Linked DNA regions of Schizosaccharomyces pombe. The protein of the gene in region 2 interacts with the protein of the main gene of each other region in a biochemical or structural test. Each region holds a gene or a part of one and is shown on either strand. Other genes may lie near its edges.

Region 1 (5,190 bases), on a different chromosome or scaffold from region 2:
TAACCCGAAGCATTGCATCAACCATTCTGGGAATAATTAACAAATCGTTTACTGGCTTAATGTCAACAAGTAGATTGACGCCAGGATGCTTGGTTAATTCATGCAAAAATTGTTCATAGGTAGGTAACGGCTCGTGAGGCTCTTGAATGGTACGAAAATGACCATTATCCAATTCATAATCAAGATCTCGAACATCAACATCAACACCGAATACTCTGTTAAGATTTCTATCATGCAAAATGCAAACCACTTCATCTTTAGTTAGTCGAACATCTGTTTCAACGCAGTCAGCACCAGCCTTTACGGCTTGTTGAAATGCTAGTATAGTATTTTCAGGATACTTAGCTTTGTATCTGTAAACATAAGTTAAACATTTGCTAAATTGGAGAAGGATTTTGACAATTAAGGGTACAAAGTTGCAGATATGAAACTAAGTCTACTAATAATAAAAGCAGTATGCAACTAATACATTCATAAAACATACCCTCTATGAGCAATGACCAAAGGCGGTTTTGAAAACGTGGCTAAAGAACTCGTATTTTCAGCAATGCTTTGAGCAGCATCATCAACGGTATTGGCAATTGAGTAGTTAAAAGCCATTTTGAAGAGAACGATGTTGGTATTGGGAGAAGTAAAGAATGTAGCAACTATATACCAGTTACTGTAGTCCGATGATATCACTCCGCTCCGCTCAGGTTGCAAAAAAGGCGTTGAAGTGATTCGTCGAAGTCAATTCAGTATAACAATATTTTATATAGTTAATTTACGATAAAGGAAGGAAAACATTTCCCTCGCAAAAGAAGCGAATTATCCATCAGAATTGTAGATTCAAATCATATATTTCAAACGCTGAATGCAATTCGCATCATGAAGTTAATAGAGAATCATATTCTGCTAGCGATTGTTGATTAAGAGGAGACATACTTTCGTCGGGTTCAATGGTCTGAATAGCATCCGACATTATACCATAAAAACGATAATGAGTATCTTCAACCTCGTCTGTATTGGGAGTAAGAGGTTGAATCAAAATTAATGTTCCAGTCAAGGGATCACAGTTCCAAAGAAATCCTTCTACTGGTAAACGTCCATTCTTAAACAGGACGCGCAGGTAAGAACCTCTACGCTTTTCTGTTGTGTGAGAATCCATTTCATTAATTATTCAAATAATGTGAGAAAACAAAAAAGATAAAAAAAACATTAATAAAAACCAAACTTTTTAAAACACGGTTTATGTTCAGGTCAAAAAGTAGTAGCAATTTTCGGTAGCTGTATGAGAGGCGTGGAATTACAAGATGAGTATAGCTTCCGTAGCAGACGTAAATCAAGTATGTTTTTCATTCGAACCCAAATTTTTAGTTGTTTTTGAATTTATGAAACTGATACTTAGGCCATTATGGTTTTTTTTGCTAACAATATACCAGCAATGGGATTTACAATCAGTTTTCGTATTAACTTCCATAAAACTTATTTTATTTATCAACGAACATCAAATTCTAGCTCAGAAAAATAAAAAATGCATATATTTTGTTTGAAAACGCTGCTTACGCTAATCTGTATCATATAACTTCTACTCAATTTTCTTAATCCATGTTTCCTGTTTTAGGTACCGCTTTATATTTATTTACTTAAAAAGTATCAATTCATGTATCTTTTTATTACAAGTTTTGCATTCGCATTGTACGAACTTTTGTTTACAAATTCTCCGCCAGAACTTGCCTCCTACCACACACAAAGATTCTGTATGGTATGAACAACGCATATTGAGCTTCTGTTATTTTTTCAATTAAAAGATTACTTATAAAAAAACCTTTCCATTATTCATTTTCTCTTTATGCCCGCACTTTTTAATCTGTATCTAATTTCGGCATATGCCAGTTTTTGATTAATCTGTAGAAACAAACCATAACGGTGTTGTTTCTTCTTTCCAATCTGTCAGTAACTTTTTCATTGGTCTCTTTTCCAATTTATTTTCAGATTGTTTTATCGACTGTTTTCCTTAAAGCTCATTTTTGACTTCTTATTTATTTCAACGAAAAATCACAATCATTGCATCTACGCATGTCACTCTCTAGGTGTCCAACTGACAATTCGTCCTCCCGTATAAATTCCTCTGTTCCTTTAATAAATAGCAGCAGCCCTGCTACACCTCCAGAATCATTTGATCCTCAAGTATTTCCTTCTTCACTTATTCATGGGGATAACCTGCTTCCTCAAGATGATCAAATTGCATCGGATCCTCGCTCAGAATCAAATAGTTGTAATGGCAATACGAGTTCTTCCCTGCCGTGCACTGATTCGTATCAGTACCCATTAAAGCATTCTTGTACGCCTTCTTTTCTTCGAAAGTTTAATGAAAGTATAGAGAATGTCTCTTATAAATGCTTAGACCACTCACCGCCAGATAGTGTTCCTGGCGATTTTTCCATTTCCCTTGTTCCTCAAAGGAATTTTCTATATTCTCATTCTTCTCTTCCACCTAAAATTATATCAATTGATAGAAACAATCGAATTAAGTTAGATAATAGCATTTCATCTAACTCCGACAATTTCCCTCCTTCTCCGAAAGTCGACACATCAAACACTGTTTCACCTGGTAGTAAACCTATCTCTGAGGATCTTGAAGATTTAAACTTACAGTCAATTGTTCAAACTTTTGAGGATCTTCCAGAAGGAATTCAATCTTATGCGTTTTTTCAACTACTCCGTTCGTGCAATCGGCAATCGATGCGTTTATTATTGAATGAATGCGAGCCGCTTCTAAAAAAAGATATACTTTCAAATCTTCCTTTTTCCATTGTTCAGTCTATATTATTAAATCTGGATATACATTCTTTTCTTTCTTGCCGTCTTGTTTCGCCTACTTGGAATAGAATACTTGATGTGCATACTTCATACTGGAAACACATGTTTAGTTTATTTGGCTTTCAAATCAATGAAAATGACTGGAAATATGCTAATCCAAACTTAAATCGTCCACCTTTTTTGCACAACGACCAAATCTCAGATGACTATTTTCCGGAAATTTTCAAAAGACATTTTCTCAATAGAAAACGATGGTTATTTCCTTCGATACCTCCAAGTCATCTATCTTTTCCCATTCATGTTCCAAACTTTATGATAACTTCTTTACTACTTCATAAAGACAGAATAATCACCACTTCGGGATCTGGAACAATTCAAATTCATAATGCTATTACCGGTGTTTTAGAAGCTCGATTAGAGGGTCATAAAGAAGGTGTTTGGGCTGTCAAAATACATGAGAATACACTTGTATCTGGTTCGATCGATAAAACTGTTCGCGTTTGGAACATAGAGAAAGCTAAATGTACGCACATATTTAGGGGACATATTTCCATCATCAGATGCTTAGAGATCTTAGTTCCGAGTCGTCTTATTCGCCATGGAGTTGAAATTGTTGAACCAGATCAACCGTACATTGTCAGCGGCTCTCGGGATCATACACTTCGGGTTTGGAAGCTTCCAAAAAACACGGATCCTCCTTATCTTCCAGATAATACAAACTCTATTGACCGTTGGGAGAAGAACCCGTATTTTGTACATACTTTGATAGGACATACAGACTCTGTACGAACTATATCCGGCTATGGTGATATACTTGTGAGTGGGAGTTATGATTCTTCAATTCGCATTTGGAGAGTTTCAACAGGGGAATGTCTTTACCATCTGCGGGGTCATAGTCTTCGTATATATAGTGTTTTATATGAACCAGAAAGGAATATTTGCATAAGCGGTAGCATGGATAAGTCCATTAGGGTTTGGGATTTATCGACAGGGACTTGTAAATATGTGCTTGAAGGCCATGATGCCTTTGTTACGCTTCTTAATGTATTCCAGAATAGGTTGATATCAGGTTCTGCTGACTCCACAATTAGAATATGGGATTTGAATACTGGGAAACCATTAATGGTTTTGCCGTCTAATTCAGGCTACATTAGTAGCTTTGTGTCAGATGAACACAAAATTATTAGTGGTAATGATGGTTCTGTAAAGTTATGGGATGTTAGGACTGGAAAGCTGTTACGTTTTCTATTAACAGACCTCACAAAAATATGGCATGTCGATTTTGATGCTATGCGTTGTGTGGCTGCAGTGCAGCGTGATGATCAAGCATATTTGGAAGTTATTAATTTTTCCGGATCAAGACCGTAGAAAGTTTCATTTTAACAATATTTAAGAAGACATAATTAGAGTAGTGTCTAACTATTTACATCAGCTACTAACACATATTAAATGTATACAATGTAAAATTAACAGCCAAAGCCTATCAAAAGTAAATAAGTAACGAAGGATTGAATAAATTATGCTGGTTGGTTTTGTAACTGGTATTGAATTAACATTGGGAAAAACTTCCAGATAGAAAAATCCGGCCAGTAGAAATCGATGAATTTTATCTCCGTATTTTTGTGACACTGATAAAATTAGTTGAATATCTTTGACTAGAAAATTAGGAGAATTTTTACTTACCTGCCATAACATAAAATCAGATAGACGCTCCACACCGCTAGTGCGAATCAACAAGTCTAAAGGAAGACTATCTTTTATCAATAGGTTTTTTTCAAATATATCTTCATCTATATCTTCTGGAGTGATTGTACCATCTTCTGCCATTTTTACTATTGATTGCACAGAAGTAGCAATTTCATGTCGAGAAGTGTATGGAAAGCAAACATTTAATGTTGCCCTAAGATGTCAATTAGCAAAATAAAAATTTGAAAAATTTCACATACTTTGTGTTATGTTTTGTAATTTCCACAGCCTTTAGAGCAGTTTCTAAAACGTCAGGTTGCAACCTGCTAAGATCGCCAACAATGCGAATACGGATCCCATACTGATCAACCAAATCACCATGAGCAGTAATTTGCGTTAAGCTGTTTTTTGCAATCTCCATTAACATATCAACTTCATATTTAGATCGCTTAAAATTTTCAATGGAGAATGTGAAAGCCGATACTTCTTTAACTCCTAACTTCAGACACACTTTTAATAGCTTACGCAGGGTTAGTTAATGTACCAAATTGTGCAGAACGTAGACGGATACCAATGCGCAAAACATGGAGAAACGGTACGTTTAACCTTCTATTAATGTTCTTTAAACTTACAGATTTTAAAGCTTCAAAACCTGAGCTATGACCCTCGATAGTTTCCATCCTTCTTTGACGAGCCCACCGT
Region 2 (7,156 bases):
TTTAAACAATTTAATTCAGTGTCACGGTTAACAACTAATAATCTCACCTTCTCATTTCTACCTACAGAAAAGAATTATTTTCTTTCATTCATACTTATAAATTCATCTTTTCACTAACATGTTTAGGGTATGTGCATAGACCGTGTATATCTAAGGAGAACGCAACCACAGTAAACTAAGTCCTGCTAGTCACAGGTTTAAGTATTATAAAGTATTGGAAAGCGCCAGCATTTTAATTACTAATTTTGTTGTATTATTTTCCTTATTTATTAGATACTATGAGGAAAGAGTATCTCGTTAGCCATATAGAAGAAAATGCACATCAAGCAGACATTTACTCTCTCAATGTAGTCGCAGGCAATCTTTGGTCGGCTTCTGGGGATTCCAAAATAAAAAAATGGTCTATAGGTGATGCTGAGCATAGCTTAGTTGAAGAAATAGATACCCCTCATAAACTTGGCGTTCATCATCTAGCAACTAGCTTGGATGAAAACGTCGTCGTTTCTTGCGGATTTGGACAGGATGTTTATGTTTGGAATCCTGAAACTAATGAATTTCGAGACTTGGGTACGAATTACTTTACGAAGAAGCTATGCATTTCTCTAACGAATATGATTTAGGTAATAATGCTCAACATCCCAGCGAATGCTGGTCTTCTTGCATTAGCCCTGATGGACAAACGATTGCTTTCACATCTGTAGACGGGCGTATTGCTGTCTGGGACAATCCAAGTGATTGCAAAATTTCCGAGTTAGATACCAAAGGTAAATTCGGTCTTTGTATAGACTATTCTCCCAATGGAAGATTTATCGTTTCTGGTCATCAAACTGGGCAGCTTTTCCTTATAAGTACAGAAACAGGACGCTTGTTTCATGTACTATCGGGCCACACTTCCCCTGTACGATCAGTGGCGTTCTCTCCTGGTTCAACACTTTTAGCTGCTGCCGGGGATTCTAAAATGATTACTATCTACGACGTTTTATCAGGGGATCAAGTCGGCCAACTTCGTGGTCATGCTGCATGGATTTTTGCAGTAGCTTTCAATCCCGTAGGTGATTTGTTGCTTTCGGCTGATGTTGAAGGAAAAATCAAAATCTGGGATATTGACACCATGGAATGTATTAGTACACAAAGTGAAACGGATGGAGCTATTTGGGCTGTGGCATGGTATAAAAATGGGTTCATCGTCGCAGGTGCTGATAAAAGTATTCGTTGGTATAGAGCTGCTGCTACAGAATAATTGCACTCTTGTGCTTTCTTAATGACCGATGGAAAAGTTTTTAAAAAATAGCAAAAAATTAAGGAGTTTCTAATATTTGGATTAATTATGAATATCAACACTTTACTCGTAAAACGAAAGGATCTTGAAATGGATTATTTTAGGGTAACGCATTTTTCTTTTCACTTTCATCATTACAAGTATGTTTGTATCATTGTTTACTTTCGTTCGATACGCTTTTACTTTTTATATAAATTATCTAAGCATAAATTCCTAAGGAAATACGAATCTCATTCAAAGTTTCCATTGTATTTAAAACATGAGTTGACTCATAATATCTATAAAAGTTTATTTTTTATTTTATAGGTAATGGTTAGCTTAGTTTCTTATGTGTTTTAACTGTATTACATTACGTGCCTAGAAAGTTTACTCTCACATACGATAACGACGCAAACCGTTTAAAACCATGCACATACTGCATATGTTATAATCTTTACTTTGAAGACTTTTTGTAATTCAAGATTACTTTTTGTTGATAAATTTTCACACTAATGGCAGAAAATAATAAAAAGTCTACTGCTTACATCCAGAGGATGCGAACACTAAAATTTTATCAAAAAATGGCTTCTGCGCGAATCCCGATCACTGTGTACCTCCACGATCAACGAGAAGTAAAAGCAGAATTTGGAGCGATAGACAGTAGTGAGTCAAAGTTGGCAGTTTCCAATCTACAAACCGATTGGGGCGTTATTAACAGAGCGGTGATACGAACAGGAGACGTCGTGGGCATCGAATACAATTTGGTGCAGGAAGAAGGAGAACTTTGATGATACATTACGATTTTCAGATACAGAAGCCTTAACAGCCATGGTATTCAATTCAGTGTTTACAGATGAGAAAGCGTGATGTACATAGTATGCATAGTTGTATAGAAGCGCAACATAATTAATGTTATTTATTTAGGAGGAATATTAAAAATAATATCGTAATATTGTATATTTTGCTGGATTAAAGCAAATAACTTTTGCGTCAAACGGATGGTAAATCGTGAAGTTCATTAAACTTCCAAAGGATCAGAAGAATTAGTGTGCCACTGAAATTAAAAGCGGGAAGAAATGATCGCTTACACTGCAAATTTGTTCCAGTATTTTTTTAAAGGACACTCTCGATATCGTTTTCGAGATGTTCAGGCTTGCTAATACTGGAATAGCGTTCGATGACTTGACCTTGACGATTGACCAAGAACTTTTCAAAATTCCACTTAATACGCTCAAGGCCAAGTTGCTTCTTTTGGCTCTTCAAGAATTGATAAACAGGGTCGACGTTGTCGCCATTAACATTGATCTTGGCCAGTACAGGGAAGGTTACGCCATAGTTCTTTTGGCAAAATTGAGCGATTTCTTCGTCAGAACCGGGTTCTTGGTTTCCAAATTGATTGCAAGGGAATCCAAGGATGATAAATCCTCTATCCTTGTATTTCTGATACAACGCCTCAAGACCTTTGTATTGAGGAGTGAATCCACATTTGCTCGCTGTATTGACAACAAGGACCACTTTACCCTTCAAGTTGCTGAAAGGAAAAGGATTTCCATCCTTGTCCTTAGGAGCCAAGTCGTAGAAATGAGACATTTTAACTTACAAAACTCAATACTAATAGAATGAGTAGGTTGAAAGTAAGGTGTAGCGCGGCTGACCGTCCTACTTATGTTTCCAGCTGACCTTATTTCATAATGACATCAGACCTTAGTTTGGGTCAACACGATCTTTTAACAAGAGAAATTTACGTAAAATTAATAAAAATTCCAAGGAAGAAAAGTCGGATCGCATTTATCAAAAGAAATCTTATTTATTTAATCAGTCTCACATTCTTTTTCCTTTGTTTGCTGCTTTTAAAGTTAAAAAAAGGATATGTCGCAGTATACTGCCATTGTCTTTTGTCAACATACCACCAAAATGACAGAAATTTTTGCTGCTATTTAGTAAAAATATTTCAAATTTCGTATTTGTAAAGGTTATGCATAGAATGGCTGAGACTCATACTTAAACAGTATAGGTATCTAAACATTGTATGGGGCGATTGTAGCAGCAAACGATTAAGTAGTTTGCGTTAGTTACAACACCTAGTAATGGTTTGCTACCTTTTGTTTAAAATAATAGTAGACGAGATTGCCAATGGCCGATGTTGTTTATCTTAAAGTTGAAAGTGAAGCGAAACCTTTTTCTAACTTTAAGAGTGGGATTTCTTCCATCCAAAAGAATATGCACTGCAACAAGATATAGGACACAGGCAAATTATTTGACAAAAACAAGGAACCGTATAACTACTTTTTTACTTTAATCTACAAATAAATTAGTAGGATGTAGAAAAAGGTATCAGTGATAGATTATTTATGTATTATCTTAAAAGTATTGTTTTTTGCCCTTTGAAGGGCAAAAAGCAAAAAGGATCAAAATTATGCTCCAGCAGTGACTTGAACACTGGGCCTCTTGCTTACTAGGCAAGCGCTCTACCACTGAGCTACAAGAGCTAGTTGGAATCATTTGCTAAAAGGTATATATATATGCATAACTATTAAGAAATGCTCAGTATTTTTTTGAAATAGAAAATGTTGATATTCGGTTTCTATTATTAAGTTTTAAATTCCAAACATTGTAAATATGTCGTCGTTCTTTACATTCTTTTTTTAATAAATCTTGGTTTAAGTTAAAACCCAATTTTACAAGCTCGCAACTTTGTTGTTAATAAAAAAAAATGTTACACCTGCTAAATAAATATTAAAATCAAACTGTTGTTGTGTGGTATTACCTTATTGAGCTTAATTATAATTTCAGTAAAAATTTATGTTCAATTTTTTTTTTTACTTTCAATTAATTTATTTATTTATTAATTTGTAAAATATTTAGACCTTTGCCAAATAATTATTTGTTAATTTTTCATTTTCTACAATCTGTATTAATTAAGATAAAATTGTCTTCAAAAATACTTTTAGTTTTTGGAAAATCATTTGTTTCAGTGTTTGAGTATCCACATGAATTGTCTAATTTTATATCACTATTATTTTTTTATTCGAACACTCATAAATTGTGTCTATTGTGTTACTTTCAATTTTAATATTTACATTCAAAGTTGCATATATTTTTTACGAAATAATGTACTAAATGATTTAGAAATATTTAGATACGATAGTAATCAATACTAAATTTTATGACACATTCTAAATTCACTTACTTTGGCTTTCTAATTTCCTGTTAGAAAAATTGTCATTCCTAATTGAATTTTGCAGCAATGCTCGAATCAGCTCCAAGGTTGATAAATTTATAGTCAAGAAATATGTAATTATTTATAATAATCTAGTCTAGTTGACCTGGAAAATGTTTGCTTTTCTTACTACCAACCTTCTCTTATCGACCTACAGTTCACCCAAGCACAGCGAAATACCTCAAGATACCCTTCTTTTGAAAACCACCTATTTCAGCAAAAAATCTTTCGCGGTTGTACTTTTAAGTAAGAAGCAAACATCAAAGATTGTTTGCTCCTTCATTGTTTAATCATGGGCAGAGAAATCATTACGTTACAAGCTGGTCAATGTGGTAATCAAAGTATGTTCACCTATACTACTATTAATCAAATCGAAATTCTAATTACTCACAAACTTGTCTAGTTGGTTCACAATTCTGGCAACAGTTGTGTTTGGAACATGGCATTGGGCCTGATGGCACGCTAGAAAGTTTCGCAACTGAGGGTGTTGATCGAAAAGACGTTTTTTTCTACCAGGTTGGTTTATTGATACACTTTAAAGTTTCAACATGTTAACTCATTTTAGTCTGATGATACTAGATACATTCCTAGAGCCATTTTGATTGATCTGGAACCAAGAGTATGTTATCGCATCCTTTTATTAGTATTTGCTGAAATATTCAAGTGACTAATGTCCTCTTTACCTTAGGTGGTCAACAATATTCTAAGCGACACCTACGGCAGCCTTTATAATCCCGAAAATATACTTATTACCAAAAATGGAGGAGGTGCTGGCAATAATTGGGCTAATGGTTATTCGCATGCTGAGAGGATTTTTGAAGATATAATGGACATGATAGATCGTGAAGCTGATGGAAGTGATTCTCTAGAGGGTTTCTCGCTTTTACATTCTATCGCTGGTGGAACGGGTTCTGGGCTGGGCTCTTTCTTGCTTGAGAGATTAAACGATCGTTATCCCAAGAAGATTATCCAAACTTATTCAGTATTCCCTAATAGTCAATCCGTATCAGATGTTGTGGTTCAGCCTTACAACAGTCTTCTTGCATTGAAGCGACTGACATTGAATGCTGATTCTGTTGTTGTGTTGGACAATGCAGCACTTGCTCATATTGCTGCTGATCGGTTACATACTCAGAACCCTACGTTTCATCAACAAAACCAATTGGTAATTGATTTATATTAGGTCTTTTCATCAACTAACTATTCTAGGTTTCAACTGTTATGTCTGCCAGTACAACAACTTTAAGATATCCTGGCTACATGAACAACGATCTTGTCAGTATAATAGCTTCATTAATTCCAAGTCCTCGCTGTCACTTTTTACTAACCTCATACACTCCTTTTACCAATCAGCAAGTGGAAGAAGCAAAGGCCATTCGGAAAACTACCGTGCTTGATGTGATGAGAAGGTTGTTGTTGCCTAAAAACCAGATGGTTTCCGTCAATCCTAGCAAAAAGAGTTGCTTTATTAGTATTTTGGATATCATTCAAGGAGAAGCAGATCCGGCGGACGTTCACAAATCCTTGCTTCGCATAAGAGAACGACGATACGCTTCATTCATTCCTTGGGGACCAGCAAGTATACAAGTTGCACTTTCTAAAAAGTCGCCCTATATAAAAACGAACCACCGTGTTAGTGGACTTATGCTTGCAAATCACACTAGTATTGCCTCTGTATGTTTCTGCAAATTTTTTTTTGAGACATTTAATACTAATCTTTGTAGTTATTCAAGAGAACACTAGATCAATATGATCGTTTGCGGAAACGAAATGCCTTTTTAGAGCAATATAAAAAGGAGGCTATTTTCGAAGATGATCTTAACGAATTCGATTCTTCTCGGTAAGTATCTTGTCTTATAATTTCATATTTTGAGTTAATTTACTAATGTATTTGACAGCGACGTCGTTGCCGACTTGATCAATGAATACGAAGCTTGTGAAGATCCCAATTATTTATCTCTTTAAAAAATCCTTCATAGTTTACGATGTCAAAGCAGACTTAAAATATAAAATTAATTCTCCTATCCTAGTCCTACTTCATAATCTATGAAATTCTGCTCAGCAAAGCATTTTTACGCCTTTCTAAAAGAATGGCTTCAACATCGTCTCTAGTTGGTATTTGCTCAATGACAAGAGGTTTCCAATCTTGTTCAACTTCATCACCAAGGTTCTCAAGATGTTTATGTTGTTGTTCTTCAATCTTTGCCTCAAAATCTTCTAATAGACTCTCTTGTGCTGGCGGTATGTAACCAAAGTACCAGGCGTCTAACCTTCTTTTCTGCATCTCCTGTTTGCGCTGTCTTTCCGGTATAAAACTCATATCAGCTTCAAAAAGTTCCTTAACGCCAGGTAACTCTCGAGCTCTTCCGTAATAACGATAATCGTCTATATCACTGATTTGTTCTCCTTCATCCTCAAATAGCTTTGCTTTATTATACAGATAATTAATCCCACCCAGATCACGAATTTGTACCTCCCATTCGTGTTTTTCACGCATCAATCGATTAATTGCATCGTTCAAATCTCGAATTTGATATTCAGGCAACGTTGCTATTCATGGTTAGAATACACAGAAATGATAAAAGCGGAATCAAGTTTAGCAAGTTAATTAAATTTGCTAATAAAACAATCTAGGACGTACCACTTTGAATTCGAGAGATCTTGCGAGAGATATCTTT
Region 3 (6,981 bases), on a different chromosome or scaffold from region 2:
TCTAATGAAACGTTCTTTGATGAATTTGTTTTTTTACGAGGATTTTGTTAAATGATAGCGAATGCGTTATGAAAAAATTATCAAAAAAATTTTATTTATTTAAAACACCATGTATCCAAAGAAACCAAAATAACGTGAAGGTAGTTTGAGATGCTCACTCTTGAAGCTAGATTAACATCCAGTAACCAATGGTAAGGTATTAGTTGTAAATTTGTAATCCAAACATGGATGCAACTAAAATTACCAATAAACGCTGCTAATGATAATATAGCAGAATAAATGAGAATGAGACATATAAAAATCTGTTTAAATAAAGAGCATGCGCTACGAATATGGAACAAAAGCAAAAGTGCTGACTAACTTAGCATTCGTAAATGTGTCTCTAGTTTAGTCCGCCATGACAACGTTACTATTGTCAGCAAGCTTGGAAGCTACACTCTGTTTTGGCTGTCCAATATTCACCGCAGCTTCTGCTTCTTCTTGTGTATACGGCTCTTCACGCAAATTTTTTAACCTTCGTTTGTGAACCTTTCCCTTCTTATGCACCAGCAATGCTTGAGACGAGTCAAAGTACCGTGCACATTCAATGCAATAATGTTGACCTAAACCTGGCAAATCCGGATCTATAGGTAATTTATCAAATTTCTCAGACTCTGTTAAGTCATTGTGAATCTGATCTAAGTCTCTATTTGTCCAATTGTTAATTTACCAAACGATGATTGAATGACCATGAAATTTGCATACCTCCCATAAACACGAGTTCTAAACAAAGCATGATTTCCATTGCTATGATGCTTTCTTTTTCTGGCAACTCTTCCCATTGTCCGTCACTTCAAACAAACCCGTTTACCACAATTACAATGTTAGTTGCAAAGGATAAACTTTTTTAAGCGTAAACACATTCAATATCCAAACGGCGTAATGTGTGCTATATCGTATAGTGAAAAATAATTCTCAAATAATCTTATTTTCCTATCGTAGTTTGCGATAAGTTTAATAACGAGAAGGAAAGCCTCGTTATATAGTTGAAAAGCAAGAGAAATGTATTAGATATGTATTATTGATTGTTCTGAATAGCTCAAGTAGCGTAAATTTTTTAATAAATAAATATTCGTTCAAAATTTGGGAGAGCATGGTCAAAGCAAGTTGAAATGCATGCCTTTGAAATTGCGCTTTTTAAGCGACGATTGCTCCATCGTTTGACAAAACTTTGTAATTTAAGGGATGTTTAGCATCGGAATTTATTAGGGAAAATTGCTTTAGGCGTGATTCTTAGTACATGGCAACTATAGAAGAAATGAATTAACATTCAGTAGCTTTCTGGCTTTAACTGCCACTATTTCATCAAAGTCTCGACAAGTTGACGTTTAGTCGAAGGAAAGAAAGTATTCACGTAGCGAGATCAGAGTCCGCTTATCAGCAAGGAAAAAATTGAGCTCTCCATTTAGACTGCTATACTGAAGTGTGAGCAATTTTAGTGACATTTAGTTTTACAAAAGGAGCTTGATTGCTCGAACTCAAAAGATTCAATTAACCACGAAGGGGTTCTTGGCAGTGAGGTTGTAATTATTTCTTTTTTATTTTATCTTTATTTGACTTTTGTTTTTTCCCAAAGAATAATTGCAATGTTCAATTAGTTTTGAATTTGAAAAACCTCATATGGGTAAAAAATCACTCGGTCGAAAAAGACAGTAAAAATTTATTAGTTAATTTCGTAAGATGGGGCGCGAATTAAAGAAAGTTGCTAGTTATCATGTAATAACATAATTGAAACCCTCGATTCGACAAGTATGCAGACAGCAAAACGAATGCACGTACTAAACAAATAGTAAGCCATTTTTTGTAAAATGAAAATGTGAATCAATAAACAAATAACTTTGCCTATCTCAATTCAAACGTGTTTTTTTAAAATATATCTATCGATTTGTAATAGGCAAATTGTTTATTGCAGCTATCTCCAAGCTTGCTTAATCACATGTTCAAAGATGCAAAGCCCAGCATATCCGTGTAGCATATGTTTTCATTCAAAAAAGTAATAATATCCTAAAAACATATTTAAAACAAGCTATCAATTTTAATTTTTTCCCTATAAACAAACGTATGCTATATGAACATGTGTACCTAAATTTTTTTCGACCAAGATTTATAGACTCTATGTTTGAAAGAGATCTTTTTGTCCATATCGATAAACTAAGACTGCTTGAAGGGCAGATGCTGACATCTGCAGAGCAGGAAAAGAAGTATGCGTACTTCGTAAAGACTTGAGTACTGAACGTAGGGTCGATATATCTTCTCCATTCAAAAGCTCAGGAAGTTTATAACAAAAGCAAAAAATCCATTGACTCTAGAAAAATGTTAGCAAATTTTAGAATGAACAAAAATACACCAGCAAAGTAGCATGAGATCCTTGTTACCAACCTGTAAATCAATTGCGTCCTTTTCAAGCCAGCTGGACAAGCTTTCTAGGATCTCCAAAACAGTTGCCAAATCAACCACTGCTAATATGGCCCAACAAGGAGCTTTATGCTCAATATATACACGCCATTGTTGTAAATTTTTAGGTAAAATAGATGCGTCCAATGAAGAAGATTCCATATATTGCTCAAGCCTTTCCCCTTCTTTATCAATTATGTTTAGTAAGTATCGTAAAAACGGGTCAAAGCTTTTTTTGCCGGCCTCGATTTCCAATTTGCGAAGAGGAATGGTTTCTCTTGTTTCAGGCTCACGACGCGCCGCTACAAATGGAACTAGCTTGCGAGCTTCTTCTCTGAACTTGTCAGTAAAAAGCCCAATTATTGTTACAATGATTAGATTAAAGCATTCATGTTGCAAATTTCGATTTTCACAAAAATTCATATATAAATGTTCGTACCTCACAGTTGCTAAATAATCTAAACCATCAAGTGGTATATCATATTCCAAAGATTCTGAAGCACTATTGTTGTCGATTTGTGGAAAAGCGCTGCGTTGATTTGTTTCCTCATCTAATGATCCTGAAGTCTGATATTGTAAAGGATTTCTTTTTCTTTTCGAGGGCATTTTGAATTATTATTGTACAATTGCAAACTTCTCATATAAACCAAATGGAAAAGAATTACCGAATTTTCATGAAAATACTCAAGGAATGTAGGCTGTTTTTTTCCGGCAACTTTTCGTTTGTAGTTAGTTAACAAGGAATGTTTCGTAAATCGAAGATTACCCTAGTATAATAGAATGGTAAGGTTAAAGAGGTATCTGTAGAACTATCAATGTGAAGAGTCTATCTTGATCAAGTGTAATGCTAAAACTAATTTTAGCTATTTCTTGATAATTCCTTTACTATCATAAAATTTATTACTTGTTCTTATTTTCAAAGAAGTTCAAAGTTTTGCATTTTTTTGAAGTGTATAAGAAGCTAAAACTGGGAGAATATTCACTCAGACAGAATTGCCTATCCTTGAACTAATTTAATAAACATAAAACATATAGATATGTAGGAAATTGTACTATTCATTCTTCTGTCAACGCAAGTAACACCATCTGCGGCCACTTAATCAGGCACTTACTCTACACAATATACAGATCAGTGCTTTATCCCCAAATCCCATTGTTCATTGGTGAATTGGTGTTTTGAGCAGCACATATGCCCATTCTAACATGCAGATATAAAATTCTGTTTCTTTATAATTTACGGAATTGCTTTACTTTTCAAAATCAGCGATGTCTCATACCATATGGAACAACCACTACCATTAGGTGGTATAATGCAAATTTTCAAGCTGTTCAAAACAACTTTTCTGATTATAAAAACGAATTGATCTCTTCACATCGTCCAGAAGCTTCCAGTTTACTCGACTTTTTGGTAAAGGATCAAAAGAAAAGTGGTGATATTAGTTTGCATACAAAATTTAATCTATATGTGGACGATTTATTGAAAAAGAGCGAAAAAGGACAAATTAAAAAATTTATTAATGATATTAAAAAAGATTTGGCTACGGAATCTCAGCTTCCATTGTCTGCGCCATTCAAAGATGAATCTACTCGGACTATGACAGATCCCCAAGTTTTAGCTTATATTCATCAGTCTATGCCGTATCAATATGCTTCTCTATACAGCGTATTGACTGACTTGAAAATTGTAAACAGTGATGTGTCTTGCAAGTCTCAACATATACTGGATTGCGGTAAAGGTCCAGGTATTGGTGCTCTAGCTAGTTATTCAGTCTTTCCCACACCTAATTCAGTTTCAATTGTTGAGGAGAACCCATTTTTGAAAAAAATCATATATGATATTCACCATAACATTTACCCGTCAACTTCGCCGAATCCAACTAGCCCTGTTACGCTTAACCGTCTACCATTGGGTAAAAAGGATTCATACACTCTAGTTATTGCATCTAACAAGCTTCTTGAAATGAAATCGGAGAAAGAACTCTTTGATTATCTTCGTTCGCTTTGGAGTCTCGTGTCAAATGATGGTGGTCTTTTGGTGCTCTGCGAGCGAGGCACAAAGCGTGGCTTTAGTTTGATTCAAAGAGCTAGAACATTTCTATTGCAAAAAAGTAAAAATACTTCTGATAAACAATTCAATGCCCATATTGTAGCACCCTGTCCCCACGATGGTCGCTGCCCCATTGATATAGAAAATGGGGTAAGAGCAAATATTTGTTCTTTCAAACAACATTTTTTCCTATCCCCATTTTCCCGTCTATATGTCCCTCGTTCTCATCGTCGATCCTCGGATCGCTCTCATTACAGTTATGTTGTTATTCAAAAGGGTATAACTAGACCGCTTAATAATACCACACAAAGGTTCAAGAATGATGAGGATTTACTAGAAAATGTGAATGTTACATCTCCAACTCTTAAAAACTGGCCACGTATAATTCGACCTCCACTGAAGCGAGATGGACATGTCATAATTGATGTCTGTGATAGCGATGCTCGGCTTAGAAGGAATATTGTTCCTAAATCACAAGGTAAACTAGCTTATCGATTAGCTAGGAAAAGTGCTTGGGGCGACTTGTTTCCGTTAGAGGGCAAAGTTCAAAGTACTTCTCCAAGTAGTAAAATTACTAAACATTTAAAAGATGCTTCTTCTACCTATTCAATCAATCCCCCCTCATATAATAAACCCAAAGTTGAAAGAAATACAACTGCAGATCCTATTTTTGTCGGAAAACGATTCTATTCGACTAATCGTCATAAAGCTTTTTCTCGATTTGCAGACTTTAATTCACATCGTTTCCCTTGTATTTTTACTTCATTTAGCTGTTACAATTGCATCTCTGGTACCAGGAATATTTCACGACAATATTCGAGAGATAAATTCCACTATAATCAAAGGACCACTATCTATTATCTGGTTGCAATTTCCATTTTTGCGTTGGGCTTGACATATGCGGCTGTACCTTTATATCGTCTTTTCTGTTCGAAAACAGGTTATGGTGGCACTCTTAATACCGACCAAAGTCGTATGAATGCAGAAAGAATGGTTCCTCGTAAAGACAATAAAAGAATCAGAGTTACTTTCAATGGCGACGTTGCAGGAAACCTTAGCTGGAAGCTTTGGCCCCAGCAGCGTGAAATATATGTTCTTCCAGGCGAGACTGCTCTAGGGTTTTATACTGCTGAAAATACGTCCGACCATGACATAGTAGGAGTTGCAACTTATAATATAGTACCAGGTCAAGCCGCTGTTTACTTCTCAAAGGTTGCATGCTTTTGCTTTGAAGAGCAAAAGCTAGATGCTCATGAAAAAGTAGACTTGCCTGTGTTTTTCTTTATAGATCCAGAATTTGCTGATGATCCAAATATGAAGGATATTGACGATATTCTTCTAAGCTATACTTTTTTTGAGGCCAGATATGATACCAATGGCAATCTTTTAACTAAACTCAACTGAAATAAAAATTAAGGGACTACATATTGAGTGAACTACAATAATTTATTTAAAATAATTCATCAAGTTAACCTTCTAGTTACGAGACAAATAACAACGAAAATCACTACAAACTTACTAGAATAACTTTCTCCGAGGTTGCAATTCGACATTAAAACTATTGTATTCTCGTAAAAAAAGTTGAAGGCCTTTGAACCAATAGTATATTATTTAAATGACAAAGTCATGAAAGTAACGAAATGAAATAGAGACGGAACAATTTATTTGGCTACCGCCTGTTGAATAGAATTCATCATTTCTTCTTTTATAATAAGCTGTCTTACCTTTTCCAATTTTCCAAGAAGTTCAGTAATATTGGAACCCCACTCATTCAATTGCTCTTGCACATTTTGAGATTTCTTGAATGAAATGACTTGAGCTGGGCGATCAATCTTGGCATAGAAATGATGCTTTGCAATAAGGTCGCAAAGAAATTGTTCTGTTTCGGAAGGACTCATATCCAACAACACTCCTAGACGACTGCAATGAATGCGGGAATAATAGTTTGCGACTACACGAATATTGTGTTCGATGACTCGCTTACGAAGTTCAGACCAACGTTTCTCACCTTTTTCGTCATTTTCAGCAAAAACAGGATTACTCCTTAAAGCACTTCCATAGATTTCGGCAATTTTGGGCCATCTCATTAGTTCATTGACAATAAAGCACTTAACCAATTGTTGGAGTAAAGGAAGAGAATTTAGTTTATGGTCAGCATTAATTCGGTGAAGAAGATCTGCCTGCTCGTTATCATAAGGAGTAAGCAAGGCAAAGCAAACGACATTTTCTAATATTTCTTTCCATTTCTCGGGGTCCTCTTGAACCACGGCGGTGTCATAAACTGCTCGATAATATTTACAAACATCAAGATATGCATCGTCGTGCAAACCAATTCGGATTTTTTGCTCATAATACTTAAGTTTTAAAGACTGGACGTCTTCCTTTTCAAAAAACTTAACATTTATTTTCTTCGTGTAAGTAGATGCCATGTAGTAATCAGACCTCAGTAAGAATAATCTAACTTGATCCAAAATGAATGCAACTTTTTCCTTCAAATCAAA

The links. The genes of interacting proteins can lie anywhere in the genome.
Region 1: the proteins of gem7 (region 2) and gem6 form a complex in vitro, tested with the Schizosaccharomyces pombe proteins (one study listed by BioGRID).
Region 3: the proteins of gem7 (region 2) and yip11 form a complex in vitro, tested with the Schizosaccharomyces pombe proteins (one study listed by BioGRID).

Annotation. Positions count from the first base shown.
Region 1 is NC_003424.3:5,353,073-5,358,262, forward strand, and holds gem6 (SMN complex subunit Gem6), read right to left. Parts: upstream 1,242-5,190; 5' UTR 1,148-1,241; coding exon 866-1,147; downstream 1-865. Other genes in the region: pgc1 (glycerophosphoryl diester phosphodiesterase), read right to left, coding at 1-353, 485-600; F-box/WD repeat protein Pop2, read left to right, coding at 2,059-4,170; rer2 (cis-prenyltransferase), read right to left, coding at 4,320-4,430, 4,486-4,702, 4,749-5,008, 5,121-5,190.
Region 2 is NC_003423.3:2,786,700-2,793,855, forward strand, and holds gem7 (protein Gem7), read left to right. Parts: upstream 1-1,770; coding exon 1,771-2,046; 3' UTR 2,047-2,188; downstream 2,189-7,156. Other genes in the region: rec14 (Ski complex WD repeat subunit Ski8), read left to right, coding at 279-567, 621-1,240; H2O2 scavenger glutathione peroxidase Gpx1, read right to left, coding at 2,372-2,848; gamma-tubulin Gtb1, read left to right, coding at 4,771-4,819, 4,882-4,994, 5,044-5,097, 5,167-5,643, 5,688-6,152, 6,203-6,318, 6,377-6,443; protein Cwf12, read right to left, coding at 6,523-7,028, 7,120-7,156.
Region 3 is NC_003424.3:4,903,356-4,910,336, forward strand, and holds yip11 (SMN complex subunit Yip11/Gem2), read right to left. Parts: upstream 3,040-6,981; coding exon 2,873-3,039; exon of another isoform or gene 2,768-2,872; coding exon 2,419-2,767; exon of another isoform or gene 2,345-2,418; coding exon 2,153-2,344; 3' UTR 866-2,152; downstream 1-865. Other genes in the region: bud20 (zinc finger ribosome biogenesis protein), read right to left, coding at 388-685, 745-821; rsm22-cox11 tandem protein cox1102, read left to right, coding at 3,623-5,884; 19S proteasome regulatory subunit Rpn502, read right to left, coding at 6,142-6,981. UniProt on the Schizosaccharomyces pombe protein: The SMN complex catalyzes the assembly of small nuclear ribonucleoproteins (snRNPs), the building blocks of the spliceosome, and thereby plays an important role in the splicing of cellular pre-mRNAs.